Linked DNA regions of Diceros bicornis minor. The protein of the gene in region 2 purifies or fractionates together with the protein of the main gene of each other region. This does not show direct contact. Links are inferred from orthologs where the notes say so. Each region holds a gene or a part of one and is shown on either strand. Other genes may lie near its edges. The genes, in order: EAPP, CD2BP2, DDX23 and DHX38.

The links.
Region 1: the proteins of CD2BP2 (region 2) and EAPP purify together in Homo sapiens (affinity purification with mass spectrometry; 3 studies listed by BioGRID and IntAct, counting the BioPlex papers as one, with this or other methods). This does not show direct contact. The link is inferred for Diceros bicornis minor from reciprocal best matches to the Homo sapiens genes CD2BP2 and EAPP.
Region 3: the proteins of CD2BP2 (region 2) and DDX23 purify together in Homo sapiens (affinity purification with mass spectrometry; 6 studies listed by BioGRID and IntAct, counting the BioPlex papers as one, with this or other methods). This does not show direct contact. The link is inferred for Diceros bicornis minor from reciprocal best matches to the Homo sapiens genes CD2BP2 and DDX23.
Region 4: the proteins of CD2BP2 (region 2) and DHX38 purify together in Homo sapiens (affinity purification with mass spectrometry; 3 studies listed by BioGRID and IntAct, counting the BioPlex papers as one, with this or other methods). This does not show direct contact. The link is inferred for Diceros bicornis minor from reciprocal best matches to the Homo sapiens genes CD2BP2 and DHX38.

The regions. Positions count from the first base shown.
Region 1 is NC_080744.1:14,753,485-14,761,480, forward strand, and holds the start of EAPP (E2F-associated phosphoprotein), read left to right. Parts: upstream 1-4,940; 5' UTR 4,941-5,031; coding exon 5,032-5,105; intron 5,106-7,996. UniProt on the Homo sapiens protein: May play an important role in the fine-tuning of both major E2F1 activities, the regulation of the cell-cycle and the induction of apoptosis. Promotes S-phase entry, and inhibits p14(ARP) expression.
Region 2 is NC_080765.1:21,531,785-21,539,433, reverse strand, and holds CD2BP2 (CD2 antigen cytoplasmic tail-binding protein 2), read right to left. Parts: upstream 3,213-7,649; 5' UTR 2,921-3,212; intron 2,626-2,920; exon of another isoform or gene 2,475-2,625; intron 2,389-2,474; 5' UTR 2,363-2,388; coding exon 2,285-2,362; intron 2,058-2,284; coding exon 1,922-2,057; intron 1,801-1,921; coding exon 1,643-1,800; intron 1,537-1,642; coding exon 1,101-1,536; intron 1,020-1,100; coding exon 913-1,019; intron 826-912; coding exon 715-825; 3' UTR 577-714; downstream 1-576. Other genes in the region: TBC1D10B (TBC1 domain family member 10B), read right to left, coding at 5,645-6,331, 6,420-6,574, 6,908-7,097, 7,298-7,363, 7,488-7,602. UniProt on the Homo sapiens protein: Involved in pre-mRNA splicing as component of the U5 snRNP complex that is involved in spliceosome assembly.
Region 3 is NC_080756.1:20,755,211-20,762,447, forward strand, and holds the start of DDX23 (probable ATP-dependent RNA helicase DDX23), read left to right. Parts: upstream 1-4,158; 5' UTR 4,159-4,221; intron 4,222-7,124; 5' UTR 7,125-7,154; coding exon 7,155-7,160; exon of another isoform or gene 7,161-7,205; intron 7,206-7,213; exon of another isoform or gene 7,214-7,234; intron 7,235-7,237. Other genes in the region: RND1 (rho-related GTP-binding protein Rho6), read left to right, coding at 119-364. UniProt on the Homo sapiens protein: Involved in pre-mRNA splicing and its phosphorylated form (by SRPK2) is required for spliceosomal B complex formation.
Region 4 is NC_080771.1:23,320,630-23,328,115, forward strand, and holds the start of DHX38 (pre-mRNA-splicing factor ATP-dependent RNA helicase PRP16), read right to left. Parts: upstream 3,001-7,486; 5' UTR 2,728-3,000; intron 2,592-2,727; exon of another isoform or gene 2,436-2,591; intron 692-2,435; 5' UTR 673-691; coding exon 350-672; intron 1-349. Other genes in the region: TXNL4B (thioredoxin-like protein 4B), read left to right, coding at 5,861-5,992. UniProt on the Homo sapiens protein: Probable ATP-binding RNA helicase. Involved in pre-mRNA splicing as component of the spliceosome.

The DNA.
Region 1 (7,996 bases), on a different chromosome or scaffold from region 2:
TGCCTCTGTGGAACTTGCGCTGGGTGGGTGAGCGGTCTTGGGTGGTGGGCACACACCAGTTGGGATGTGAAACGTCTGCAAAATACGTGGAGCCAGGGCAAGGAGTCCAACCCGGACATCAGTGTTCTCTGCCCCTCCCCTTCCACTCCAGCGCCTCTCCAGGAAGTCCACAGAACCTGGACCCGTTTCGGGAAGCAGCCGCCTCTGCCAAAGGACTTCAGGTCGGTGGGCAGAGGAGAGGAGCCACGGCCTCGAAGGCTTGGTATCTGTCGGCCTGATCACGTCCTGGGCTGTCCTGGACGTGGTCTCTCCACCTGATCCAATAGCCTTTCTCCAGTCACTTCTCAGTGAGCCTAGGTCATTGCGGGCAGGAGGGTGGAGGAACACATCAGCACCCGGGGAGGAGAGGCTCTCGGGCCGGGAAAATACAAGCCGAGCCTGGAACATGGAGCTGAGCCAAAAAGAAAAGAAATGTGCAGTGAGTGATGCGGTCACGGCAAGCGCAAAACAGTCAGTTTGAAAGAGCTCCCGCGGGCGAAATCAAGGTACTGATAGTAATGGATTATATACTCCATCGAATAAAATAAAACTACGATTAGTTTCACTTGTACTAAATGTTAACGAAACAGAAAGACGGCAGCGCTCTCCGCAACATGTGTTCACTAAGCGCTGTAAGCATAGCAGATTACCCGTAACTAAGTGAGCGATCGCATAAGTTGCCGGGTCTTACGTTTGCACACCACAACCCTCATGAGAGAGCGCGAACGCAATTCCCTGCTACCACAAGTTATGCAGTCGAGTTACCCACATTCGGAGAAATTGCACAAGTCAGCACATCCACAGCGCAATAAATAAACCTCGTCCTGGAAAACCACCTTCGTGATCATGGTATCTCCCCTGCCAGATAAGTATAAGTCCCCCCCGCACGCTGCACCCCGCACCCCGCACCCTCGCATGCGCCCCGCTCCATACGCACGGTCACTTCCCTCGCGCCCCCCGCCGCACTCGCCCCCTCCAGGCCCGGTGCTCCCACCACGCCCACCCGGACCACGACCCTGGCGGCGTTCGGATCTCCACACGCAGGACGCCGCGGCCCGGCCAAGCGGGACCAGCAGCCTCTGCGCGCACGGTCATCTGCATACGCCACGCCCCTGTCGTGACGTCCGCTGCGTCCCGTCTCCCGCTCGGGGATACGGGACCTACGAATCCCCACCGGAGACCCGACGAGTCCGGGACCTGGAGGGGACGCCCGGGAAGACCGGATCTCGCGGCGCCGGCGCCCGGCAGCTGAGGGCCCCCTGGGGGCGGGTCAGGGCTCGGGTCTGGTCTCGCCTTCCTTTCAGCAAAAAGGAAGTTTCAGCGCATTTTGTCCTTGCCCGGCCGACCGAACTCATTCTCCCTGGACACGATTATTATGAGGGCAGCCCCCCCCCATTAAACATCTAAGTACTGATATTTCCCCAAGCAACTCCACAGGGATCGTTTTCCCATGGCGCCATCCTCAGTAAGCCTGTCATAAACTACATCACATGAACTGCCTCAACATACACAACAACTAAACCTAGGGAAATCTAAAGGAAAAAAAAGTCAAGGTTCTAAGCTTGAAGAAAGAAAACCAGGGCAAAGTACAAATTTCATCCACTGTGCAAATTGTGCAGTGGTGGAGTTAAGTATATAATACTAGTAAATAGAAAAGTATTTTATTTTATTTATTTTTTTTGAGGAAGATCAGCCCTGAGCTAACATCCATGCTAATCTTCCTCTTTTTGCTGAGGAAGACCTGCTCTGAGCTAACATCTATTGCCAATCCTCCTCCTCTTTTTCCCCAAAGCCCCAGTAGATAGTTGTATGTCATAGTTGCATCCTTCTAGTTGCGGCCACAGCATGGCCGGAGAAGCGGTGCGTCAGTGAGCGCCCGGGATCCGAACCCAGGCTGCCAGTAGCAGAGCGGGAGCACTTAACCGCCAAGCTACGGGGCCAGCCCCTAGAAAAGTATTTTAAAACACTTAAAAAATTTGTAAATATACTGTTATGTTTTACAGTAAGTTCATGATATCTGAAATATTCCATTTAATCTGTTCATGTCTCCTTTTGTTTTTAGATAGTGAGGCCAACACAATTTTTTAGACAGTAAACACAACTTTTCTATCTCTGCTACTCTGCCCATTGAGGGGTGGAGTCTGTCTCCTCCCCTGGAATCTGGACTTAGTGACTAGCTTGACCAATAGAATGTGGCAGAAGTGATGTTCAGAGAATTCTGAGGCTAGGTCAGAAGAAGCCTTGTAGCTTCCATCTGGGTCTCTGGGAACCCTCTCCGCCAGACTTGAGCTGCTATCTAAGAAGGCTGACTACTCTGGGGCTGCCATATTGTACGGAAGCCCAAGGCTTTGTGGAGAAGGATGCATGAAAAGAGAGATGCTCAGTGAGTCCCCAGCAGTTTCAGTCCTAAACTGAGACCCCAGAGTAATCCCTGCCAAAACTGCAGATTTGTGATGAAATTAGATGATTGTTTTTGTTTCAAAGCTCTTAAATTTTGGGGTGGTGTTTTTGTGCAGCAATAGAGAAATGGAACAGGAAGAAAGAAATAAGCAAACAAGTAACATGAATCAGAAGGGGAAAAATGTGGATTAAAGGATAGAGAAGATGGGATGGAGAGAAGGGGTTGGGGTTGCGGGCTTAAAGTTTTTGATAAGGGGGTCAGGGAAAGCTCTCTGCTTCTCTCTGTTACACACTTGTGCTTTTCTTTGCTTGCTCATCATCAACACATATAACCCCTAAACAGCCATCCTAAAATGGCAGCCTCAGCTCCTGAGTTTACTTGTCCTGTTACAAGTCCTAGGACCACAGCCAACTCTTTAGAATCTGTAACTCTTACTTTTAAGTTTATGGGAGTAAGTAGGTAAGTAATGGCCCAACTTTCATGGAGCAGAATGATTATGGATATAAGGGCATATCCCTGAGGAGGGCCACAATTCCCAGAAAAGGAAAAATGGATTCCCCAACAGGTGTCCCCTTCACATCACTGTGACTCATGGAAGAGTACTGTACCTCTCAAAAGAGTTGGGTGGAACAATAGTTGAAAACCAGAGAAACACATGGCACGTGTGAGTGGTACCTTATCCTACAAGAGTTCAAAGCAGAGAAAGATCCCATGTAGAGAGAGAATCTGAAAAGGCATCATAGAAAAGGTACAGTGTGAGTTCCCAGAACTATGGCATCTCATGGCTGAAAGGTATCCTAAAGGGTCATTCTATATATTTATTGACCCATCCATTGCTTGCAGAAGGATCTTGAGGTAGGGTTTGGATGGTGGAATTAGAAGTAGGAGAGGGTGGGGGGGCTGGCCAGGTGGCATAGTGGTTGGGTTTGCACACTCCGCTTTGGCGGCCCAGGGTCCACAGATTCGGATCCCGGGTGCAGACCTATGCACCACTTATCAAGCCATGCTGTGGTAGGCGTCCCACATATAAAGTAGAGGAAGATGGGCACGGTTGTTAGCCCAGGGCCAATCTTCCTCAGCAAAAAGAGGAGGATTGGCAACAGATGTTAGCTCGGGGCTAATCTTCCTCACCAAAAAAAAAAAAAAAAGTAGCAGAGAGTGCTTCAGGGAATAGCATAAGCAAAAGCCTAGTGGTGGAAGGCATAACGCATATTCTCGAATCAGCAAATTGTGCTGGATATCTGTAGGGATGGCATGATGCATTGAACTATATTGTGGAGGGCCAAGAATATTGCAGAATAAGGCGAACAGATCAGCCAGCGAAGGTGAAATATTGGGACATTTTAGGAAGGAAGTCATCCAGAGCAAAAGCTGTGCTGGAAGAGCGTTACTCTGCCAGTAGAGAGTAGCATGGATTGCAGAGGGAACAAAAGCAAAGTAAGGCTGTCAGTTAGGAGCCTGTATCAATAGTCAAAGTGAGGGGTGGGGAGATGGGAGGTGGGTGAGAGAGGTATTGCTAAGAGATCTACAGGACTTGGGAATTGAGGGCTCATGGAGGGACAGAGAAGGAGTCAACCAAGATTCCAAGACTTTCAGCCTATGGCAGTTGTAAGGATGGAGGAAGTGACATACGCAGAAATCAGAAGTCAAAAGTAGTTATTGGCTGAGATATAGGAACGGGGTGGAAGATGGTGAGTGTGGTCTGGGCTACGTTGACTTTGAATTGCCGGTGGTGCAGCAGGCGGAGTTACCTAGCCAGGCGATTGGAAATCCAACCTGGTACCGGAGGAGAAGGCAAGGACCACATAAGACGGGGCAGTCACCTGATTGGGATCATGCAGAGGGAAGAATTGTCCGGAAGGAGGCAGGAACTTGAGTGTAGGCCAATACAGAAACAGGGGAGGAAACGGTCTCACAATCGGGAAGCTGTCATCGGCTTCACCTCGAGTATCGAGTGGAATCGGATAAAGGCTGAGCAAAGGTTGGGACTGAGGAGAGGCCAAGAAAATGCAATTAGGAAGTAACTGGTGGCAACCTAGCAACTTTCCGGTAGACAGTTGGGGCTGAAGTCAGACTGAGGAGAACAGGGTGAGCCCGAGGCAGCCGCGCAGTGACAAAAAAAGAAAAGCTTGAGGCGAGGAGGTTGGAGGGACATCGGGTGCTAGTGTCTGGGGACCCACTGGCCCGGACTTCAGGCTGCATGTCTCTCAGCATCTAGATTTCTGCTTCTTCACGTCACGGCGGGAGACAATGCACTTGGAGCGTTCATCTCAGAGACTGCCATTTACGAAGGTGCCAATTACTATTTCCGGTAATAGGGTAGCCGTTTCCAGGTGAGCAGAAGCCTCGGAGGGCAGTGTCGAGACACGGGGACCCGCCCCCTCTCCCCGCCCCCTCGTTGGGACGATCTGCGCAGGCGCGCAGGGAGGGCGCGGAAGTGCGGGCGGAAGTGAAGTGCGGTCGGAAGTGAAGTGCGGTCGGAAGTGAAGTGCGGTCGGAGGTGGAGTCCGGAACGCTTTAGGGAAGGGACCTGCGGCGTAAACAGATGCTTTGCCGACGCCTGTAGACCGTGTCGGAGGGCGCAGGCCATCATGAACCGGCTCCAAGATGACTATGACCCCTACGCAATTGAAGAGCCTAGCGACGAGGAGCCGGCTTTGAGCAGGTGGGCCCCTGCCCCGTTCTTGCCCCGAGGCTTCGGGCCGAGGCCAGGCCTTAGTCTCCTCCCCTCCCTGCGCCTGCCGCGCTCGTGTGGACCCTCGGCCCGGCGGTTGTCGCGCCCCGCTGTCCCCTGTGGGACGCCGAGGGGGCTTCTGGTGAGGTCGCGCAGCCACGGGGGAGGCGGGGCTGACACCCGCTTGGGGAAGAGGGATATTCTGGAATTCTGCGTTTGTCTTCAAAAGCCGTGAGATCGAATCCTGCCTCTGCAGCTTACTAGCAGTGTGACTGAAGGCAAGTCAGTTATCCTCGATTTCTCATCTGTAAAGAGGAAATATAATAACTATATCGGAAGTATGTTGTGAGGTTACGGGACTTAATGTGAAGTGACCATCTTGAAGACTAAACTGCCGTAAACAGAAATAAGGGACTATTTAACAGACGTTTTCTGAGCACCTGTTAAATGCTTGCTCTGGGCTACAGAGGTCAGTCCTAAGATATTTGTCTTTTACAGGTTTCCAGTACAGTAGGGGAAATAAGGTATATGTTTCGGAAATAAGCATGTATCTCAGAAGAGTGTTGTAGAAAACTATGACCTGAGATAGGCACAGATGAAGTTCCATGGGAATTTCCAGAAGGGAGGGATTAATCCTACCTGGGGGAAACTTGGGATTATGTTGGCAAGAAATTTGCAGGCAAATTAAGCCATTTTTTAAGTTGTCAGCAGATTCTATTCATAAACTTTAAAATATTCTATCCGACTAAGCTTTCTGTGAAACTGTCCTTCCTTTAGCCACAATGTTTCCTCATACTATCCTGGGGAGGGTTGTAGGCATGAGAGAGCAAACTGCTGTGGAGATTTCTGTGGTGGGAAGTGAGGATGGGTTCCAGGATACCCTGTGAAAAAGCGTTTCAGTTAATGAGTCCCGTCTGTAAAGGAGGTATATGTAGGCCTCTTGGAATATAGCCGTGTTTCCTGGACTTGAGTTATTCCCCCACTTACCATCTCCATAGTCACCCGGGTTATTATTTATTTAATATTTTTCTTTAAATCAGTTTACATTTTTGTAGTTAAGTTTCTTTGAGGAAGCTTTATAATCCTGTGACGGTTGTCACTGGTAAGGTAACTATAAAAATAAATGCTGTGAGGGCTGGCTGGGGGGTGCAGCGGTTAAGTTCACGCATTCTGCTTCGGCGTCCTAGGGTTTCCTGGCTTGGATCCTGGGAGTGGACCTACTCACTGCTCATCAAGCCTTGCTGAGGCAGCGTCCCACATAGAAGAACTAGAAGGACCTATAACTAGAATATACAGTTATGTACTGGGGGCTTTGGGGAGGGAAAAAAAGAAGAAAAGAGGAAGATGGGCAACAGATGTTAGCTCAGGGCCACTCTTTCTCAAAAGAAGAAAAAAGAAAAGAAAAGCTGTTAAAAAAAGACTACGAAAACAAAACTGTTATTAATGTTGCCTGCTCAAGGCTCTAAATCAAATGCTTGTTGTTTTGAAAAGGGAGATTGGTGTTAGAGAGATGTTTAAGAGATGTCGGTCAGCATTTGATTTTACCCTACTTATAAGCTAATATTTTATAGCCTGTTACTGTTTCATGGAAGCTGGCAGAAGACATGAGACTCGTGGGTCAGAGACAACTCACAGCACAGCAAGCAGCATGAGCATCATGTTTGTGTTGCTCGCTGTTAGTTCCCAAGTCTTACAGGGGTTACCCGGAGAGGCCCAGATGGATGCTACACATTCAGTGGGTTGGCATCGAGGCTCAGGACCACTTGAGCTTGGAGAATCCACCTCTTTTACAGCAGGCAGTAAATAAGCCTGCTCTCTGTCTTGGAAAGAGACATTGCCTCATCCCTCAAGGTTGTTCACTGCAAACGCAGGCCTGGGTGAAGAGTGATCAGAACCTTGCATTCTTGGCATACTCAACAGGAATGTGCAGGGCCCGTGATGTATTGCTTCGCCCAGCGGTGCTAAGTGCTGAGATTTCTGTTGAAATAATCACAAGGATTGAAGAAAATTTGAGAAAAGTATAACTCTCTTGCCATGTGATTCAATTTTTTTTTAGTTAAACTTTTTATTTTGAGGTGGGTTCACATGCAGTTGTAAGAAATAATGCAGAGATTCTCTGTTCCCTTTACCCAGTTTCCCCCAGTGTTAACATACTGCAGAAGTACAGTACATATCACAGCTGGGATACTGACATTGATACAGTCAAGACACAGAACATCTCCATCACCATAAGGGTTCCTCATATTACCATTGTCCGCCCCTGTGCCCTCCTTAACCTCTGGTAACCACTAATCTATTCTCCATTTCTACAATTTTGTCATTTTCAAGAATATTATATAAATAGAATCATACAGTATATAACCTTGTGGGATTGGCTTTTTTCACTCGGCATAATTCTCTGGAGATTCATCCACATTGTTGAAGGTATCAATAGTTCATTCCTTTTTTATTGCTGAACAGTATTCTGTATTTGTTTAACCATTCATTCATTGAAGGACATCTGGTTGTTTCCAATTTTGACTATTGTGAATAAAGCTGCTATAAACATTCATGTATAGGTTTTTGTGTGAATTTAAGTTTTCATTTCTCTGGGATAAATGCCCAGGTGTGTGATTGCTGTGTTGTGTGGTAGTTGCCTGTTTCGTTTTATAAGAAACTGCCAAGCTGTTTTCCATAGTGGCTGTACCATTTTATATTCCCACTAGCAATGGCTTCATTGTTACTTAGTGGGCTGTCTGCCTGCCACTCCTTAAAATAATCTACATTCCACACTTTGGAACACTAGCATATTGGCTAAATCAATAAACTGGATAAATCTCAACCTTGGCAGCATTGACCTCTTAGGTCAGATAATTCTCTGTTGTGGGGGCTGTCCTGTGCAT
Region 2 (7,649 bases):
GAAGGGAGCCCATTAGGTCTGGGCCAGCCCTCTGATTCACTGTGTGACCTCCAGTGAGGTACTGCCCCTCTCTGTGCTGTTCAATGCATGGTTGGCCCAGGTGTCCTTGAAGGGTCCTTCAGGTGCCAACACTGAGTATGCACTTCACCTAAAGAGCTAGAGACAGTGGGGTGGCAGTGAGTACCAGGCTTCCTGCTTACCCCCAACATATGTCGCAGCCCTTCCTGGCCTAAAATCTCCACTTCTGGGGCTCTATCCTGTACTGGCTGCAAGGAAAGAGACTGTGAAGTACTAAAAACCAAAGCCCTAAGAACAGCAAAACAGAAACCCCCAGAGGATATCGGACAACATTGTGCAAGTTGAAGGATTTTTCGATGGTGAGCAGAGTCCAGGTGGAGAGGCCACAGGCCACCTGATAGCCCTGGCTCTGCCCATAGGAGTGGTAAACAACGGCGAAGTGGTTCAAAGGAAGAGAAACTCCCAAGAAAGAACTTCATGAGGACACACTCAAGGACAGAGGCGAGGGGCTGTGGAGAAGGTCCTGGCTTTTGGCCATCAGCACAGCGAAGGCCCTAATACACAACTAAAGACTTTTATTAGGAAAGGAAAATTAACTGAAAAGTGGCCCCCAATATCCTCACTGCCTGGGGCAGCTGGGGCATCCTCCTCAGAGTCCAGGAAAGAAGGGGCCACCAAACTGGGCCCTCAGCAGGCTCAAGTGTAGAGATCAAAGTCAATACGTTTGGAGTTGTAGAACTGTCCACCTGGGGGGTCCAGCTTCCGGCAATAAACACCATCCGGGAAGTAGCCTTCATTCACCCAGGTCTGCAAGAAGAGAGAGTAGAGCTGGGAACGAACTGATGGGGTAGGAGGAGGGAGAGAAGCAGCAGAACGAAGTAGAAAGGGGTTTACCTGCATCTGGGTGCTGGTGAAGGGCCCGTACAGCTCAGCATCCCCTGTGTTCTCCCACTTATACTCCCACATCACATCCACCAGACCGTCGCCAGGCGACTCTGCTTCTAAAATAACAGGCAAAGCCAGTTGGGCCTCAAGTGCTCTGCCCCTGCCCACAACACCCTTCCTCTGCCCTTCAATCTCACCTCCTCTCTGGGCAGCAGTTGGGGTCTCCAGCTCTTCCTCTGCCACTTCCTCAGCAAACATGTCCAGAGAGGGTGGGGGTGTGGGGTCAGGAGGTCCCTGGGTCTGGCACCCCAATCCCTTCAGCCGCATGGCCAACCGTTCCCTTGTTTCCTGATATACGCCAAGGTTGCCCCGGGCCACCATCTGGTCAGCCAACCCAGAGAGCCGGTCCAGGCGCTGGGGGGAACTGGGCCGCCCAGGCCCCTTGCTGCCCCCTTTGCTTCCTCCTCGGGCCCCTAGACGCCTCAGTGCCCCAGCCACTGTCTCCCTTGGCAACAGCAGCTCCAAAAGGCCCTCTAGGAGGGCTTGGGCACTCATTGGTGTCTGGCCCAGGCTGTCCTCTTCCTCCGAGTCTGACAGTGGGCGCTGATCAGGTGGCCGCTCCCTGATCTTCACCTGTAATATGAAAATAGTAAGGGTTATTTGCTGAAAGCTGCCAGCAGGGCCGAAGCCCAGCACTTGCTGCCTCCAGGCCCCAGCCATGCCAGTCCCTGGGCCACACCCAGTCAATGTTGTCCAGCCAGCTATCTCGGATCTGAGCATCCCGGTTCAGGAAGTAGTTGCCATCAGCATCAAAGTGGCCTTCCTCCATCTCCTCCTGCAGGTTGAAGGGTGTAATCCGCACACCTCCCTCACTGGGTAGTGTGGCTGCTTCTTGACCTGCACCAAAGACACAAGTGTCTCATGCTAGGCATGCGAAAAAGAGGAGCCCCCTGCCACACATCGCCCCAAACCCCTATTTGTTCCTACAGCAGAAAGTCAACTCTTGGGTATAGCTCACCTTCCACATCCTCTGAGGCCAGGATGTCATATTTGCTGGATCCCTCATCATCATCATCCTCCTCATCACTGTCCAAAGAGTGTTTGCCTTTGAAGCGGCTCCCAGGACCCCCTGCCCCAGCCACAGGGTCCACCAGCTGTGAGCAAGAGCCAGCGAGTCGAGAGATGCAGGTTACTGGCTATTCCTCAAGATACTCTAGCATCTGAACTCAAAATGATAATCCTCCAAGCCCATTTCCCAGAGAACATCGAAAAGCTAGCTTTTTCTACCCTTTCTTTGTTCCTCCAGGTTTTTCCTCTTCTGACTTCGTTTCTTTTTTCTCCCCTACCTCCTCCCCAGAACGCAGGAGTCTGTGCCCCTCACCTTCTTCTTAGGGACACCGATTTCATCTTCATCATCCTCATCTCCGACGCCTTGGAAGGTCACTTTCCTCTTTGGCATGACTGGACAGAGGGGCGGTCCCCAAGCTGAGCCGAGGGAAACGGTGCAGATTAAGGGAACTGGGCAAGGATACTCACAGCGAGAGGGCCCCCAGCACAACGAATATACGTACTAGATCCAGTTTGAGAGGGGAGGGAGCACAGAATCGGGGGCCGAAAGGGGAGTTGGCAGCGAGGCGGCCCCCAGGAGTTGGTTTGGCATCAGAAAGAGTTGCTGGGGCGGGGACGGAGAAGTGGACGCGCGCAGAAGCTCCCTATGGACGCCCCCACCCTTGACGAAAAGAGACAGGCTCCCCTAAGTGAACGCCCTCATTCCCGGCCCCCGCAGCCCTGGGCGCGACGGGGCTCCGCGGGCTGACACCCGCTTCTCCACCTCCAGCTCCCCCAGAGCCCACGAGGCCCCGGCGGACGCAAGACCTGGCACCCTGGTCGCCCCGCCCCTCCCCATGCCGAACTCCCAACTCCGCGGGGTGACTCCCAGCTGTCCCGGCCTGTGTGTACAAATAAGGGAGCCGGCAGAGCCACGGGGTTTCGAACAGTTTCACCAGTGCGCGCTCACCTAAGGATCCAGGGTAGGCGGGGGAAGAAAAGGATAGATGCCTTCACCAGGGCTACATCCGGGGCACCCGCCGACATCGCCCGGAAGAGAACTGCGGAAGTCGCCAGGGAAAGCCGGAAGTGGCTTCACTCGGGTTAGAGGACTAACTGGAAGAGCGGGCGGAAGTACGGAATGAGCGGGGGGCGGAGACACCTCCCTCCCGGAAGTGACGTGAACCGTGTGGGGCGACGGAGGCGAGAAGAGGAGACGTATGAACGCCTAAACCCTCATCGGACGAGAGGAATGGCCGGAAGTAGCTTCCATTCCCTAGTACAGCAGTAGAGGCTCTGGAGTGAAAGTGGGACGCACTCTACTTAAAGTGGCGCCCCGGGTCACGATGGAAGGGCAAAGTCCCAGCAGGGCCAGTGGGTTACTGCTCTAGTTTCCCCCAGCGCTGGCCAAGGTCTCTACGCCCCTCACCATCTCATCAGAAATCCTGTCTTCCCGCTCTCAGCGTCGTTGTCTACCCTGTCCTAGTCCCAAGTGCAGCCTTGCTGTTCTCCCTAAGGGGAAGCCCGGCTTTCCTGATGCCCGGCTGGAAGCCTCTGACGGCCCTTGGGGCACTTGCTGAAACCAGCTCCCTTTAGGACCCAGGGGAAGTCATTTACCCCGCACCTACCCCCTGGGCGAATTCCTGGTTCTGATGGGAAGAGCCATCACAGGATAGGTGGCAGTGACACCTGTGCCCAGTACCCAGGCCAGAAGCCCCTTGTGCCCTGACCTCAGGTAGGCCTGGAAAAGGGCAGCAGTGCCTCTTTCTCTTGCACCAAAGCCGCAGAGTAAATCCCCCTGCTTAGCAAACAGGGCCCCAGCCCTGCATCCCCTGCCCAGGTTATCTGGCACAAGGGGCAGAGCTGGGGTTGGGAGGTGGGAGAAGCGGATCCCAGTGCTCTGGGGACAATACCTCCAGCTCTTGAGGATACTCAGAGTCTGAATCCCACTAGGCTAAAGCTGTGCCCAGGAAGAGCCCACTGGAGCCAAAGGAAGGCAGCATGGGGTCCCCAGGGTAACGCGACAGACCCTCCACTCCTCTCTCCTGCTCCCAGGGTTTCCTCCCAGATTGGACTACCATGAAACTGCACCAAAAGTCTGTGCTCAGTTTCTTCCGTGGGTACAGAGCACAGGCTCCAGATCAAGAGCATCTTGCTAAAGAGGGGGGCCCAAAATACCAGCTACCAGGGCCGCTGGTTCATCCTCCGGGGAAACCTCTTTTACCTGGAGCACCAGGCAGACCGCACACCTCTGGGCCTCATCCTGTTGGAGAACTGCCAAGTGGAGCCACAGAATCCTATGACTTCACCATGCTGACTCCCAGGGTAGAGGACACAGAAGGTGGGCGGGCCTACAAGCTGGCAGCAGAAAACGAGAAGGAACTGGGAGCCTGGCTGTGGGCGCTGGCTGGAGTGAGCTGGAGGTGGCTGTCTGTGCTGCTACCCACACGGGAGGCCCAGTACCAGGAGCTGTGCCAGGCTGCTGGCCAAGAGCCCAGCTCACCCCTAGAGGACTGTGGCTTTCTAGCTACCCTCAGTTCCCCCTCCAGCTTCCAGGAGTTGCATGAGCGCTTCTGGAAGGAGATCTGGGCACTGCAGGTAGTGCATAGAGGACTCCAGGAGGCCAGTGACAATGAAGGCAGCAGATCCCAGGCAAAGGTGGAGCAGGAGCTCAACCACTGTTTGTTGATGAGTGACTGAGAGATGGATCAAAGGCCAAGAGGTACCCACCTGCAAAGACCAGCCAACTGCTTCAATAGACACCCAGATTCTGGCTTGCTCTGTCCCTCCCTAGTCCTTATTCTAAACCCCTCCATCAAATAACAAAGCAGGAGACAGGCCCAGGTACAACAGCAGGTTCTTTTCTGGTTCCTCAAAGCGCCACACTGGGTGGGAGCAGAGACAGAAGAGAATGTAAACATTGGATTCTACCCCCTGGAGCTCAAGGGAAGACCCCTTACCCAGATAAGAGGCTGGACGATTGGAAGGGAATAAGGTGAAAGATGGGGGTCCTGGTGAGACAAAGCAGGGGAGGCCTGAGAATACAGAGGAGGGTGGGTGAAGAGAAAGGAGAGCAAGGACGGCGGTGGGTAGGAAGTGGGGGACATTTCCTGTTCCAGTGCATGTCCCCTTAAATAAACCAGAGTGCAGGAGAACTCAAGGACAGAAGATAGAGCAAGCACCCCCACCCTGGGCCAACCAGGTCCTCTGTACATAATTACAACACAGAGATGTCCAGAAGTAGAGTGAGGAGAGCCTCGGCCCCCAGCCAGGAAGTGGGGGCGACAGGCAGGACTGAAGAAGGGAGAAAGGAACCCAGCTCCACTTCACGGGTAAGGGGAGCAACTGGAGTGTAAGAATCTGAAAACTGCTGACTCCCATTGCCAAGAGTCACCCTGTGGTGACAAAAGGCCGATCAGGACAGCACCTGGGAAGGGACCCCAGAGGGAATTGGGGCAGGAGTGACAGAGACCCCAGCTGGGCCTAACTGGAGGTGAGGGGCCCCAGACTTGCTCACGGCTGCCCCAGGGAAATGCAGCTGCCCCGTGCACTCCAACTGTCCTGGCTGTGCAGGGATCAGCAGCTAGCAAGGGGATGGGGAATCAAGCCACTTTCCTCAGAAAGAGGGACAACTGGCCTGCTCTTGGCTGAGGGAAAAAGAGGGGGGCCATGCAGTCCAGCCCCAGGGCAGAGGTCAAAAGTAAGCATCCTGCCGGGCCTCAGATGCCGAGGACCTGTCCCCACCATCCTGGGGAGCGGGGGGACCATCTGCCTTTCGACGCAGCGAAAGCTTCCTGCCTTGGGCCTTCTTCTCCTGCTTCTGCCGCTCCTTCTCCTGCTTCTGCTGCTCCTTCTCCTGCTTCTGCCGCTCCTTCTCCTGCTTCTGCTGCTCCTTCTCCTGCTCTTTTTCCCACTTCTGCCGCTCCTTCTCCTGCTTCTCCCGCTCTTTCTCCTGTTTCTGCCGCTCCTTCTCACGTTCCTTTTCCTGTTTCTGCCGCTCCTTCTCCTGCCTCCGGGTCTCCTTGCTGGGACCCAGTGGGGTGCTGTTGCCAGTAGGCGAAGGAAGGGAGGGATGCAGTCCCTCAGCAGTGACCACAGGCCCTGGGGCAGGCCCAGCACTGGCCCTGCGGGCAGGAGGAGGTGGGGAGGGGGGCCCTCCAGTTGCCCGGGAGCCACGGCTCTTGAGGCCAGGGAGGCTGAGGAGGCTGGATGAGGGGCCGAGGGGTGGCTGCTGCCTCCGGCGCTCCTCGTGGATGGCCCGGGAGCCATGCAGTCGCCGTGAAGGTCGATACTGCAGCTCCCCCCGGGTCTCCCGCCACTTCTTGAGCTGGGCTGCGTTCTCTCGCTCAATCAGTGCCTCTGTCACCGGGAGGTTGGTCACCTAGACCGAGAAGAAATGAGTACCAGAATGAAGACGAGGGTGGGGATGGGCTGAAGCAGGTGTGGGGTTTGCTAAGGCCAAGACCTACCTCATGCACCAGGAAGTCCTCCTGCATGCACTGTTGGGGCAGGTTGCGCAGCTGCTCCATGGTTTCATACATGCCTTGGCAGGAGCGCAGCTTCTCCACCGAGCCCAGTGTGTGCCGCAGCAGCACCAGGGCCACCCGGAAGATGATCTTGACGCCTGCAGGGTCAGAAAGAAGAGAGCATATGTGATCAGGCGTGGGATCCCAGCCCGTCCCACATAGAAGGGACTGATAGCCCCCATCCCTGTCTACTGCCAACCTTACAGATGAGGAAACTGAGGCCCCAAGAAGGGAAATGAGCTGCCATGGGTTTCAGGGTCCTGAGGGAGAGCAGGCTCTGGGTTGGTGGCAGAGCCAAGACGAAGCCTCAGTTTCTCCAGCCCCCAGCTGGCTTACAGTGAAGCCAAGGCCCAACAGTGTTAGTGGGCCACCCTCTGGCAGCCACCATGGAAACTCTAGCCCCCTCATGGCCTGAATGGCTACAGAAGTACCTTCACAGAAGAACATATCCCAGACACGCAGCACTGAAGCCCAGGGCAGGGTGCGGGCGAAGATGCACATGAACCATTCTGTCATGTAGAGCACGGGGTCAATGCGCTGCCGCCGCAGGTGCCGATGTGCCAGAGGGGAGGCCCGGCGCAATAGTGCAAAAAAGATTTCTCCGTCTAGCTGAATGGCCTCCTGGAAGTGGGATGAGCCATGAAAAGAGGCCTGCTGTAGCCCCCTTGGGGTAGAAATGGCCCTGGTACAGGATCCTCACCTCAGCGGGAAAGGCCCAGAGGAGAGGGACAGAAGGACACAGGATGGGGCAGGACAAGGACCTCCCTGCAGCCTTGGTTAAAAGTCACAGCCCCGGTTGCACCCAGACTCCAGACACTTACCAGCCCTGCACTGTAGTAACCGGGGAGGTACTTGTCGCAGATCTGCACCAGACACCAAAAGGCTTGCTGAAAAGGGCAAGAACAAGGAGGAATGGATGGGGCCTGAGAAATGGAGCAGAGAGCTCCCCCATCACCACTGCAGGCCAAGATCCTCCCAGCCCCTCTCCAACCAGGACCAGCATATGCTGACCTCAGCAGGCATGTGCATGAGCAGCACTGCAGCCACTGGGGCCTGGGCCTGGCAGTAGCCCTCGTCAGGCCGGTAGATGGTGTAGGCCTTCAGGATTCGATACAGGTCCTGTTGCCTGTGGGTATTGGAAAAGACCATGAGGGCAATCACAGGAGTTGGGAG
Region 3 (7,237 bases), on a different chromosome or scaffold from region 2:
AGTTGGGTCCCATCTGGAGTAGCCCTGGGGAGTACCACTAACCGCAGAAGGCAGTGTTTCAGAGCCATTTTGGACCACTGCATTGATGACCTCATCCCATACCTATCACCCCTCACAGGGCTGTGCAATAGCCAAGCAGCTGGGTGCAGAAATCTACCTGGAAGGCTCAGCTTTCACCTCAGAAAAGAGTATCCACAGCATCTTCCGGACAGCATCCATGGTGTGTCTGAACAAGCCCAGCCCAGTGCCCCCGAAGAGCCCCGTCCGAAGCCTCTCCAAGCGACTGCTCCACCTCCCCAGTCGTTCCGAACTCATCTCTTCTACCTTCAAGAAGGAAAAGGCCAAAAGCTGTTCCATTATGTGAAATGGGGGTTGGAGAGGGGAGACAACCTCCCACTTCCTCCCTTGGGTTGCAAAGGCACGGGGAGAGGGAGGATGAGACAATTTAGGACACTGGACACGAGTTTTTCAGACGGCCACGGTGAGGGCTTGGAAGGAGACAGGAATGGGACAAGGAAAGAGCCAGGCCCAGCTTGAGGACCTGACACTGAGAAAGAACCATCACACCCCAAGCCAGGCACTAGGTGGTAGAGGGGGCAGCTGCTCCAGTGGCCCCCACTCCAGAGGAAGGAAAGGTGTGAGGGTATGGGGCATGCTGGCCTCATGGGCTCGGGGTCCTACAGGAGCCTCACCTTCAGTATCATGCCTCTTCCACACAGCGTTTCCATGCAGGCCAGGGGATGGGAGGGGTCCCTGAGCCCTTCTCTTCCCCCCTGAGGAGGCCGCAGAGGAGTGGACAGTGGGGAAGCCAAGAGGCAGCTCCCTTGGGAGCTGAGCCCAGGTGCTTCATAACTGGAATCAGAAGGGCAGGAGCTGGGCAGAGCCAATGAGAAGGAAACCTCATCTTTGCATAGCCCATGCCTCACGGAGAGGTGACATCATACATTCACATGCTTCTCACCTAAGTCCCCAGGGTCCAAGGGAGAAGCCCCAGACCGCCTTCTCTCGCAGTGTGGGGGTGGTGGTGCTGCAGGGGGCAGGACTGGGTGGGGGTCACCAGACTCTTTCTGCCCTTAGGGCAGTACAGCTGGCATTTGTTTTATAGACTCTTGTCTTCGGAATCGGGGGGCGGGGGGAGTGTTTCAATCTGTTATATGTTCTGTGTTTAAAGAAGAAAACTTATTTATTAATGAAAAATATAACATATATAAAGAAGCTGGCTCTGTTTTCTTAGTTTCTTGTTGCCTTTGGTCTTTGATAAGGAGGAAAAAGCTGTCCTGGAGTCCTGTCTGTAGGGCTGCCTCCACTGTTCCCTAGCACCTCCGACAAGGATCTCCTCCCTGTCCCCCCACCCCTGCCTCATCCCCAACCCCACCCAAGTCCTACTAAGCCAAAGAGGATCTCCTTAGCCCTAGAGCAGAGTTTTCAACCTTGGAACTAATGACATTTTGGGTTAGATAATGCTTTCTTGTGGGAGCTGTCTTGTCCTTTGGAGGATGTCTAGCAGCATCCCTGGCCTCTACGTACTAGATGTCAGTAGCACCCGCCAGTTGTCACAACCAAGAATGTCTCCAGATATTGCTAAATGTCCCCTGGGGCAAAATCACTCCTGGTTGAGAGAGTCTAGAGAGAAACAAGGTTTGGTGACATCATCGGTAGGGGATCCGCGCTGCTGAGATCCCAACCCCTGCCAAGTGTGGACACAGTGAAGCCAACATTGTGGGGAGGTTCCTGGGGTTCTGGTCTCCTCTGAGTTCATGTCTTCTGCTTTCTTGACCTTCCAATTCAGTTGCCTGTTGATGGCAGCTCAGGGGACTTAACATCCCTTCTCTTCAGTGACTTATAGCTCTTTTTTCCAAGTTTCATAGTGTGCTAAAAATAAAAGGCTACTATGTCTTGAGTACTTACTATGTGCTCAGCACTGTGCTGAGAGCTTTACCTACATTATCACATTTAACCTCATATAAATGATAATAGCTAACATTGTTAAATGTTTACTATGGGTCAGGGTGGCTATGAGTTCTTCATATGTTATTTATTCCTGTGATAACCCTATGGGGTACTACCTACCTCATTTTACAGACAAGGAAACTGAGGTTCAGAGAGATTAGTTAATGTGTCCAAGGTCACACAGCCAGAAACTGATAGAACCTGGATACAGATCAAGGCAACCTGGCTCCAGAACGTGCACTTTTCACTGCTCTGCTATCCTATCCTGTGAGGCAAGTGGCATTATTATCCCTATTCTATAAAGGAAAGGAAATAGAAAAGCCAGAGAGGCCATATAACTCGCATGAGATCATTCTGCTAGTAAGTAATGGAGTCAGGATTCCAACTGGTTCTCAATGTTAAGTATAATCCCATAGGCCCCTTCTTGCCAGCCCTGTTGTACCTAAATAGGAGATTCTACCTATGGTCCTTACTAGAACGTAGTCCCCCTGTCTCCATCTCCAAAGATGCATGTTTGTGAAAGAACTATCAGGGTAATACAAACAACAATGAGTATCCTTTAAGCTCAGTGTCTTACACATGTCATGAGAAAGATGTGCACAAGTACTGGGGGAACTCTGCCACTATGAACTTGGACAAGCTTCATCGCCTTTCTAGGTCTCAATGTACTTATGTTTAAAGACGGTTTAGAATGGCAGCCTGGAAATAGGGAAGGAACATGGTCTCTGGGTTTAAAAGAAACTGGAGTGGAATCCTGGCTCTCCTCTTTATGGCACTTTGAAGTCATAATTAATCTTTCTGGGCCACAATCTCCATATCAGTAAAGTAGAGATAATACTTAGCTCATACTGTTATGAGAACTAAGTAAAGTAAGATAAGTGTCCAGCACAGAGTTGGACACTTAGAAGATTCTCAGTAAATAGTAGCTGCCGCTCTTAAACATTCCAGTCCGAGTGTTACTTGGAGTTCCACTCTGTGAGTGGAGAGCCCTCCAGTGTTCACTGGGTGAATTACACCTAGTAGATCTCAGACATCCTTTTCCTTCAGTTCTCTCTGGAGTAGAAGTGGGGAGGCCAGAGGCTGCAGAGTTCTAAGAGCAGAAGTGTGCCTCTCCCAGGGTTACTATGGGACATTGTGCGTGATGCTCAGGGCTTTAGGATTATTTGAGTCTATCCTGAGGCGCTGCTTGAGGAGAATTGAAGGCATATTTAGAAAAAATAGCCAGACCTACAGCCATGTGGGATTAAAACCAAAAAGCTGATGCTGGGAAAATGAGAAGGAAGGAGGCATTCGATACTTCCTAGTATCTATCTAAACCATCCTAAAAATTGCAAGGTTTGGGGGGTTCTTTGGGTTTTTTGGGGGGGAGGGGAGAATTATGAACCATAAGACCAAAAAGAAACAAAGTGAACATACAATTTGGGGCAAAAAAGGCTCAGTGGAGGACTGAGGAGGGGGGACTAGGAGGAAGAAAGAAGGCAAAATATGAAGATAGCCTAACAACTGGCCACATTGCAAAGGGCAAGAAAATGAGGAAGCCAGGGGTTCTATCTGGAAGGCTGAGAAAAATAGGTGCTACAGCCCAGGCGACACCATCCTTCGGGGAGGTCTTTGAAGGAATCCATCGTGTGCGCTCATTTTGAGCTGTTACAGTAACTGGGGGTTGTTACTGCGGGGCCAGGGTTGCTAAAATGTGCTCCTAAACTTGGGATAGTCCCGCACAATGAATTGTCCCACTCTCACTGTGAAATACTAGGCTACTCCTGTATCATAACCTTTAGTTTGTCACCTGTAAAATGTGGCTAATAATCTATCTCACAGATTTTTTTTGTAAAAACGCTTTTCCACACACGGTATTTGTTGGTGTTACTGCAGTTGCTAGTACTATTGATATCTAAGGTAGCCCTTAAATTCTTCCGTTATAAGCCACAGGCCGTGATAGTCCTTAACTGCAGTTTCCAGGAAGACTACACGGTGACAGAACCTTTTTAGGGCAGCCGACCCACGGAAAACTCTTCCTCCCGCTGACTCAAATATTTGGCGAACCACATTGCCCAGCAGACCCCGCGGCTCGGCCCGGCGCTCGCGCCGTGCATTCTGGGATTGGTAGTTCTCTGGCCTCAGTTGTCAACCTGCGCCGCCCCAGACCAGGAACTCGCCTTCCCAGCTTGCCGCGCGCCCGGGGGGTGCGTCTCGGCGACCAGGAAACGGGAAAAATGGCGACTGCTCGGCGACGTTGAGGCCGCGTTGGGCGGTTCAGACTCAAGAGTGGTGAGTCCCGGGCGGTGGATGCGGTTCCCACGAGCTTGCAGAGAGGGCGAGAGTGGGGGCACTGCGGTGGCCCCTGCCTCCGGGACGAGGCGGAGAAGAACGCCTTAGGGAAGGGGCACGAGCTCGGAAAGCTCTGGCGAGCAGGAGCGAAGGCGCGCGGGCCCCAGAAGGGAGTGTTGGCTCCTGGGGGCACAGGCCAAGTCCCAGGACGATGTTACGGGCCAGACCTTTGCCCATGGGCACAGCACCCGTGATACCCCCAGTATGACCTTCCTTCCTGTTTCAAGTAGCCCTTGCTCCAGCCAAACTGGAACTCTGGCTTTTCTCCCAGAACCAGTCATGCTTTCCCGCCTCTCTGCCTCCTATATTATTTCTTTTGCCGGGAATGACTCCTTTTCTGCACCCTCAATTACACGTCTTCAAATTCTACCTATACTTAAACGCTCAAGAGCCACTTCCTCTGCACCTCTTTCCAAATCCCGTTTCACAAATGAAAGGAAACTTCTTTTTTGAACTCCTGTAATAACTTAATCTGAGCCTTCATTTTGGTATGTGTCTCATACCTTCTATTGTTCTGTAAGCTTCCTGTGGACAAAATCTTCCTGATTTCCTTTTGTAACTCACACGGCGCCTAGCACGGTTCCTTGCATATAGTGGATGCTTGATAAATACTTCGTTGAATGAAAAAAAGAACTTGCTCTCGCCCTACAAGAACTGAGGAACTCAAAGTTCTGGAAATTTGCAAGGAAGACTGCTGGGAAGCAATGGTCAGAGTGGGCCATTGTGATAGGTAGAATCTATAATAAAAGTTGTCTATTTTTACTGTTTTCTTATTCTCACCTCTTATTGTCTTCTAAAGTCACTCCACTCAGGCTTCTACTCCCTCCATGCCATGGAAACAGCTCTTGTCAAGGTCACCAACCATCTCCATTTTTCCAAATGCAAGGGTCACTCCTCCATCTCCTAGTCTTTCTCCACTTGACACAGTTAACAACTCCCTCCTTGGAATATGTGTTTGGTTTCTGGGATGCCATACTTTACTTTTTTTCCTCCTTTCTCACTGGCTGTTGCTTCTTTCCTGTCTTTTTTCCTGGTTCCTCCTGTGCCTGACCTCTAAATGTTACAGTGTTCCAGAGGTCAATCCTGGGTCCTCTTCTCTTCTATTTTTTTCTTTAACTATACTACCTACTTAGGTAATATCATTTAGTGTCTCATGGCTTTAAAAGCCATCTATATATTGATGACTGAAATTTTTGTCTCCAGGTACTCTCTCCTGAGTTCCAAAATTGCATTTTCAGCTGCCTTCCTGAAATCTCCACTTGGCTTTCTTACTGACATCTTACACACAACATGGCCAAAATGAAACTTTTGATTTCCTCCTAAACCTGTTCCTTCCCCAATCTTCTCCGGTCACTAATGGTACCATGAACCATTAGGTTGGTCAAACCATAAATTTGGGAGCTAACTTTGTGTCCTGTCTTTCCCTTTCTCTTTTCATTGCTAAGTCCTGTCAGCTCTGCCTCCGAAGTATACCCTGAAGCTGTCTACTTCTTTCCATCTCCGTTGCCACTTTCCTAGAACAAGCCCCTGGCATCTCTTGCCTAGACTACTATAATAGCATTCTCAGTGGTTCTGTTTCCACACTTGCCTCCCTGCTGTAAATTTTCTCCCAAGTCACCAAAGTAATTCTTTAAAAATGTAAAATTAGATCACATCACTTCCTGTTTAACACCCTTCTAAGGTTCCCATTGCAGTTAGATAAAAATCCAAGTTCCTTTACCCTGGCTCAAAACACATTTCCATGATCTGATTCCTGTTTACCTCCCTGAACTCATCTTGAATCAATCAGTCTTCCTCCCTGGGGCAGTGCCACTCAGCCACACAAGTCTGTTTTTAATTGGCAAACATACTAAGCTAGTTGCTGCCCCAGTGCCTTAGTACTTGCTGTCCCTTCTACCCATTAAGTTCTTTTCCCTGATCTTTGGAGGCTGTCTTTCCCATCATTCAAATCTCAGCTTACATGTCATCTAAGAAATTCTTTACTGAGCCCTCTATCTCTTGTTCATACCCCTCCCTTTTATATCACCCTGTTTTATTCTCTGCATTAGCGTTATTACTATTTGAAATTTTCTTATCTTTCTGCCTGTTATCTGCTTCACTGGAATTTAAGCTTTATGAGATCAGGGAATTTGTTTTGTTTACTGCTATATCTCTAGTATGTAGAACAGTTTCTGGCACCTACCAGGTGCTCAATGAATATTTGTTGAAAGAATGAATGATGTCCAGGATGCTTTATAGAGAAGATAGCCTTTCTTCTGGCTTGTTTTCTTAGGGCTATAAGTGGAAGAGACATAAGTATAACTTCCATGTGTTATGCATAACATACTGATAACAAAACATTCAGTAATTTCTCAGGCAGTTGTGAGATAAAATGGGTTGTATCCACCTTTTGAAAGTGTTAATTGTTCATTTTTCTTTTCTTTATACATTCTCCCTTCTTAAAGATATATGGCAGGAAATTACATGGGAAAGGGGGATTGTAAGCTAAGGCTTAGGGAACAGATATTCCAGCTGAACCATTTGGGGATAAAATAAGTTCTGAGAAATGTATCAGTCTTCGGGATGATGATGATGGTGGGGGTCGGGGGAGTAGTAGAGGCAGATTCAGACTTGCTGTCCTTGTAGCTCCTAGCTGAAGTAGATTTTTGTAGTCTGAAGGACAGGTGACAGTGTGGCATGGTGTTCAGTGTCCCAGGCAGGAGGGGAACAGAACAAATTCCTGCTCAGACCTTTCATGGGACTTGGTAATGATCAAGGCTGTGAAGATCTGAGCAGGGAATGTCAGTCAGAGTGTCTGTGACCTCTAGTTTTTGCTTCCTTCCTTCCTCTCCCTTCCTTTATAGATTCACAGGAAGTTGCAGAAAAAGAAGTGCATGGAGGTCCTGTGTACCATTCACCAAGTTTTTCCCGTTGCATAACTAGAAGTACATTTTTTAACATCTGAGTAGTAAAAGTG
Region 4 (7,486 bases), on a different chromosome or scaffold from region 2:
GGGAGGGCAGCTGGTCAAGAGCCCCTCCATAGGAAAAATAACCTTGCCCCAAACCTTTCGCTGCGCCAAACAAGTGACCTGTCCTTTTCCACTTATCTCCCTGGTACTACAGACTTACACATGACAACGCAAAGCATTTCTAATCCCATCATCTACTCCTCAGTTGCCTTTGAATGTTTCCCATAAATCTGAAGAAAATACCACTTCCTATCTAGCCTCAATATTAAAAAATCATAATAAAATCATAAAGCTCTAAATGTCCAACAAGAAACTGAGAGAGAAACATGGGATGTTATTTTCAGGCCTCCATGTTCATTCCCTTTGGGTCAATCCACCCTAAGGCCTTTACCTGTCTTTTCGGCTACTTAGGCCAGCCTGATCACTGCCCTCCTCCTCAGCGTCCCTCTGGTCATCCTTGCTCTCTTCCCAGTCCTTGTAGGAAGAGATTCTGGACTTCTTCTTGTCCTCCCCATCATCCTTCTCCTCTCGCTCCCTTCGTTTCAAGGAAGCCAATAAGTCCAGTCCCAGCAATGAAGGGCGAGGAGCAGGGGCCTTGAAGACATGTTGCTCACTGGCTGCACTTTTGGTCTTGCAAATAAGACCGCCAACCTGAGAGTCCAGATCAGTGCCTTCCAATCGATGGATCGAGGCATCCTCACTGGTGTCCTCCATGACAGGCTCTGAGATTTCTCTGGAAGGAAGACAAATCACTTGGTATTAGACATAAGTGGAGAGAAAGTTTGGCTCGGCTATATCCAAGGATAATTGTAGTTATAGGTATATTTAGGGAGTTAACCTCCATCTCAAGGCCAGGATTACTTTAGCTATCTCTTGCCAAGACCTTGCCATCAAGTCATTGACAATCTCAAAAGATCCTCTTACCACCACCCCAAGACACATCAGAAATAGATACACACACACACAGCCCACACACGCAAGCCAAACACCAGGATCCAAGAGGATATCATCCAGGCAAGAACAGACCTCACTAAGGGACACTTACTAAAGCCTGGTGGCATCTATAAAGGGAGTATAGGGGAAATACCAAAAGATTTGTAGTCAGAAACCATAATTAGAATCCAGGCTCTTGACATTTTCTACCTGTATGATTGTAAAAATAACTTAATCTGTGGTTAGGCATAATTTCTATATCTGTAAAATGGAAATAATTTTTGCTTTATCTAATCCATGAAGTTGTTGTGAGAATCAAACAAGGAAGTGCATCTGAATGCTCTCTGTAACCATAAAAACTACACAAACGGAACTGTTACATTATTTGCTGTGCTCCTATATACCGAATGAGTCTCTTATCATTTTTTTACATGAGTTCTTCTACTTGTCCCTCCCTTTAAACTACAGATACAGCAAAGTAGAGATAGTGGGGTACAAGGCTACTATCCATGTGATCCATACATTAGTTGTGTTTTGTAGAAAAGAAAAACCTCACAGCAGTCAAAATCTGTTTAATAACAATCCATGTTCACCACAAATACTGATGAGAAGCACTAGGCTGGGAAACAATGTTTCTAAAAAGTATCAAGGTGACTGCAAGATTTCCTCGCATTCAACTTGTACCAAATTCCTCTTTACCTCCCGCTACACACCATCCGTTTATAAACATACTCAATTCTGAGTGCTTGGATAATTCTCCTCATTCCAACAAGTCAGTGAAGCAAAGGAACTGTCAAGGGGTAGGGTACCACCAGAATCCAGAAGGTGTTGCCCAGCTCTAATTAACATGCACAGCTCTATAGAAGAATATTGCCAAACAGACCAGACTCATAACATGGACAGAAACAAGAGATGAATTTTGAAAAATGCCATCAGGCAGAATAGAAAAGGAAGCTGCATATTGGTAACATCTGTCCGCATGTGAGGATATCTAAATAGGAAGGTAAGATATACAGACTCTGCTCACCAGTAGTCTGAACTAGAAAATATATCCCTAGAACGTCATTCTATGCAGGAGAGAGAACCTTGTCTTGTTGACTGCTATGCCCAGTACCTAGCAAAATAAAAGTCTGATGAATAAATGAATAAATGAGTTTAAACTGATTATAAGAGATGAGAGGCCAAACATTTCTACAGACAGCAAGGGAAGATACCAGCAGCACAGGACAAGGAGTCTGACAGACTTAACTCGCTGCTGAGCAGAACAAATAAGGAGTTAAGGGCTAGATTCCGGAGAAGGATTAATGGCAAAGAAGCCACAAGGGATAGGAGAAAAACGATGAAGAAAGAAACTGGATTTACTCATCCAACAATTATTCATTGAGTGCGTTCTGTGAGTCAATCGCTGTTCTGGGCAATAGGATGGAGCAGAGAACAGACAGACAAATGCCCCGCCCTCTTGGAGTTGATATTCTCGTAGAAGACATGGCCTGGTAGAGATACACTGTGACGGAAGAGGAAGACACAAGGAGCCCTACTTGGGCTCGGCGTCCGTCTGGGAGGGAGCTAATGCCGAGACCTGAGGAAGGGTGGACCCCGGGCAGCATCCCTGGACCCCAGTGAGGCCGCCCCAGGCAGCAGGATCTGACCAGAGCAAGGAGAAAGGCCGGGGCACGACGGACTGGCGCAGCATCCTTAGGGTGAGTGAGGCAAGTTGGGTGACAGGGACAAGACTTGCCAAACCCAGGCCAGAACCTGAGCGAGGGACTGATATCCGCCGCCTGGAGCCGCCATGATTGGCGAAGGGCACGTCAGGAAGGAAGAAGGGACACTCACCTCACCAAGCCCGACTCTCGGGACCTTCTGTCCCGGATTCTGGGGCGCCGGTGCCGCCACTCCTGGCTCAGACCGCCTTAAAGAGCCAAAACCTCAACCTCGAAAGCCGCCATTATTGTCCCATGAAACGCTGCGCGGTCCCCTCTATCTGTCCAAGGGTACCATCGAGAGCAGCCCGGAAAACGCCAGTTCCGGGCTCCCTGTGTGGGACACAACGCGACCACGCTCTCAAGGCTAGAGTGCCCTCCTGTGGGGCTCTGATCAGAGACACTTCCGAGTCTCCTTGCGACCAATCACGCTTAGTCTAAGAGGCGAAGGCCCGCCTCTAGTCGGAGAAGGGGGAAGGAGAGGCAGAGAGGTCGGTCATGTTTAATAAGGGCGGAAGTGACTCTAAGGCTTCCGGTTAGAGCCGGGGGAGGAGGCGGTGACTAGAACAGTCTGTTCTTGTTGTTGAGCGCTTGAGTGGGGACTGTTTCGCGTCCGTCTACTGCGGCTGTGCGTTTTCTCTTTCCGTTTCCGTCCCCTCAAGTGGGCCGCTGAGGGTTGCTAGGCATCAGCCCCTGGGGGTACTTTGGAGTAGGGTCGCTGCGGCGGTTGGGACGGAAGAAAGGAGCCGCCCGCGTCCCGGCTTTTTGGAGAAGGGTCGGAGGTGCCGACAGCCCTGAAGTGGAAAAGAGGGAAGTGACTTGTACAAGTAAAGTGAGTATCATCTTCCCTGGCAGTTGTGGGCCAGGAATAGCCTAATCACAGGCATCGTTAAAAACATATACGTCGGGTATTTTGGAGAAGTAAAGACGCGCACCCCAATGTAAATAAAAATCACTCGTCTGTTCACACGCAGAGATTACCACTGATGGTGTGTTGGGATATTCATTTCCAGTTATTTTTCTATGTTAACATGTACAGATGCGTTATAGTTAGGTTTTGTACAAAAGGGGATCTTCATATACTATTTTATAACATTTTTCTTCATGGAGAACTTCAGTATCTGCAGTGTTCATCTCTAACACAATATTTAACGACTCTATAATAGTACATGGCAGGACTGCACTGTCATTTATTTTACCAGTCCCCTATTGATGGCCATTTAGGTTGTTTCCGGTTTTTCACCGTTATAAATGTGATGGATGTCCTTTATTTAAATCTTTGTGCACACGTCTGATTACTTACTAAGAAGGAATTCTCAGAAATGGCATTGTTAGCCAAAGAGTATTTCAGTTTTCTTTCTAGAGAAGTTTTGCTCCTCTACATTCCAGCAGAGACTATGAATGCCTGCCCCTTCACTCACACTCCTGCCATCATTGTTTAATCTTTGCCAATTTAATGGCTTTTTTAAATATATCATTTAACTTGCTTTCCTTTGCTTAGTAGTAAATCTTAACTTTCCAAATATATTTGTCCATTTGTACCTCTTCTTTTGTGAATTCGCTGTTGTTATCCTTCGCTATGGACATTTTCTTAGGTATGGTCTCAGTTTCTCTCTCCTCTTTCCAACATTTATCCAGTCCCACCCCACACCTCTCCAACCCCCAGGTTCCCCTCCTATTGAAGCTTTGTCCTCCCCTCACTTCCTCCTCTTCATCAGTAACATAGGGGAGTTGCTGTTAGTTTGAATTCTAGTGGTGGGACAGAGCCATCTTTTCTTCGACTTTCCCTCTCATCAGTAATTTATTCTGCCACTCACATTTGATGAAGTCCCATCTGGCAATCAACTTCCCTTTGTAAAGTATGACCTGTTACTGGAACTATTTCATTTCCTATGTGAATTTTTATTAATTCATATCTTAAAATGTGACTTGTCACAAAAAAAAATACAGAAAGAAATCCTCCCTTTTATTAGCTTTAGCCAACTTTGGAAATGAATTCAAAATATCAAGTATCTCGATGGAGTCTCTCATGGATGGACTCAAAAATAAAGCTCCTTGATCAAAGAGTTTCTCAGTCATAAAAATAGGAGCTTATTGTAGTAGAAAGAATGCTGAAGTAGAAATCTGGTGGCCTGGATTCTAGTCCTAGTTCTTTAGCTAAGAGTGTAACTATAAACAAACAAGTATGTAAATTGAGGGAGTTAGATTAGGCCCCTTCTATCTCAGTATTTTACGATTTGTTTATTTTTATGTGGTTTTCACACACACTTAATCGGTGTTTGCCATGTGGTAAGATAGGTGCACCTAGTAAGATATGCACCAAGAATCTTTAAGCCAGGACTCATGGTAATACAAATGTTCGTCAGTAAAGGACTGTTTGAAAAGTATGGTCCATACATGAGATAGAATGCTGCTGTGACAAAGAATGTGAAGTTTTCTGTGTAGCGATAGGGGAAGATCTTCTTATGTTAGGTAAAAAGGTGTAAAGCGCAGAGGAGTGGGTAAATTGTATGTGCAGGACATCTGTCGTTTGCTCCTCCAGATCCACTCTTCCTCCTTCTCTAGACTGCTGTGGGACAGGAGGCTTGCCTGCTTCTGCAGCTCCCCTGCCCTCTGATTCCAGAGGGAGGCAGCCAGTGGGAGCATTAGCAGATCAGAGGGAGGGAGGAGAGTGGCTGCGTCCTTTAACTGCAGGCTGGCCTCCTCTACAGCGGCCTTCTCCATTCAGCAGTCCTCCCACACAGTTCTGCTAACTCCTCCCTCCCGTGGCTCCCTCAGGCCTCATGTGGGAACAGCGCCCTACTGTGACTAGCCCCAGAGTACAGCACTGTACCTGTTGTTTCCTACACCCTGCCTTAATGAAAGTCTCTTCAAATTACCAAATTTGAGGATGTCATCTCTCTCCTGCTGGAAAACTGACTGATACAATAGGCTATCTTTTGGGTAAAAAAGGGAGAAACCATAGGAATGCATATTTGTCTTTTCTTGTGAATGCATAACAAAACTCTGGAAGATACATGAGAAACTAATGAAAGTAGTTACCTGGTGTCGGGGGGAATGGGGCACTGAGAACTGGGCCGGAGGAAGGGATTTTTTCACAGTAGGTCTTTCTATATTGTTTCTTTTTAAACCATCTGAATATATTACCTATTCCAAAGCTTTTTAATTTGTTTAACTAGGACTCATGCACTAAGTCTAACTGTCTTTAAACATTACGACTTGATTTTAGGACTAACAGTGAGGATTAATATTTGGATTATTTCAAGATGAGCTTCCTGTTGCCCAAGCTGACTAGCAAAAAAGAAGTAGACCAGGTGATAAAAAGTACTGCAGAGAAGGTGCTGGTCCTCAGGTTTGGGAGAGACGAGGATCCTGTCTGTCTGCAGCTAGATGATATTGTAAGTGAATTTTTACAAGAAATGGTTTTCATTAAAAATCTATACATTCTCACTTCAACATCTGCAAAGTGCATGAAAGGGAGCAGGCAGGGCCCAGGGATGTAGCCCTTCATTCATTAGCACACTTTAAGAGTTGATCGTGTGTCTGCCCTGAGCTGCACCCCTAAACTGGGATTGTGCTGAGCCTGTCCTGGATGTGCTTCCCCACTAACAGCAGTCGAAGCTCAGCATCACCAACAAGGCAGCGAAGAGCAGAAAACGTTAATAACAAGCATCTGTGAACATCATCTTATTGCTCACAACAGTTAGATAATTACTATTACTGTTCCCAGAGGAGCAGGTGAATGCCGGGGAGATCAGTGACTTCCCACAGGCACAGAACCACTACATGGCAGAGCTGGGATTTGAGCTTCGCTTCCTCTGCCTGCAAATATGCTTTTCTAGTGTGCTGCCTCCAGTGTATGCCTGATGATAATCTGTGTTTTCACAGCACATCTTCACACTCTGATGAGTTGGTGGGGAGTATGGGACAGAGTAGGTTTATTCTTGTCTCTGTTTATTATGGAGAGAGACTTACCCTGGACTAAGACCTCTTCCACCATTTTTATTACTGACACCCACTATGTGGATCAATTTTAAGAATCCTCATTACTGTGATTGAAAATGAGTGTGTGATGCGTTACCTGGGGGGAAGGGCCAGAGGATTACACCCTCAGCTGTAGCAGAGAGGGACTATCACTAGGGGTCAAAGGTATAAACTCTGAAGCTGCCTGAGTTCAAATCCCAGCCTTAATACTAACTAGCTGTGTGACAAGGGGCAGATTACCTCCCTGTGCCTCGGTCTCCTCACCTGTGACATGGGAACTGTAATAGTGTATACCTCATAGAAATGTTGTAAGGGCCGGCCCCGTGACTTAACGGTTAAGTGCGCGCGCTCCGCTGCTGGCGGCCCGGGTTCGGATCCCAGGCACCCACCGACGCACCGCTTCTCCGGCCATGCTGAGGCCGCGTCCCACATACAGCAACTAGAAGGATGTGCAGCTATGACCTACAACAATCTACTGGGGCTTTGGAGGGGAAAAATAAATAAATAAAATATTTAAAAAAAAAAAAAAAGAAATGTTGTAAGGATTAAAGGAGTTAACAAGTGTAAAGCACTTAGGACAGTTAGCACATCTTAAGTGCCATGTAGGTGTTTGCTATTATAATTATCATTTATGGGGGGGTTGGAAGGAAAGAGACTTGGGGGAATTTCAGTGTCTAGTACATACTTCTGAATTGTTTTGTGTTTTTGTTTAAGTGAGCATGGATTTGATAAATCCATAAAAAGTTTATAAAAACTTTACAGTCAGGGCCAGCCCCAGGGGCCTAGTTCGGCGTGCTCTGCTCCAGCAGCCTGGGTTCCCTTCCCGGGCGTGGACCTACACCACTCTGTTAGCAGCCGTGTTGTTTTGCTGGCCCACATACTAAAAAATAGAGGATGATTGGCATGGA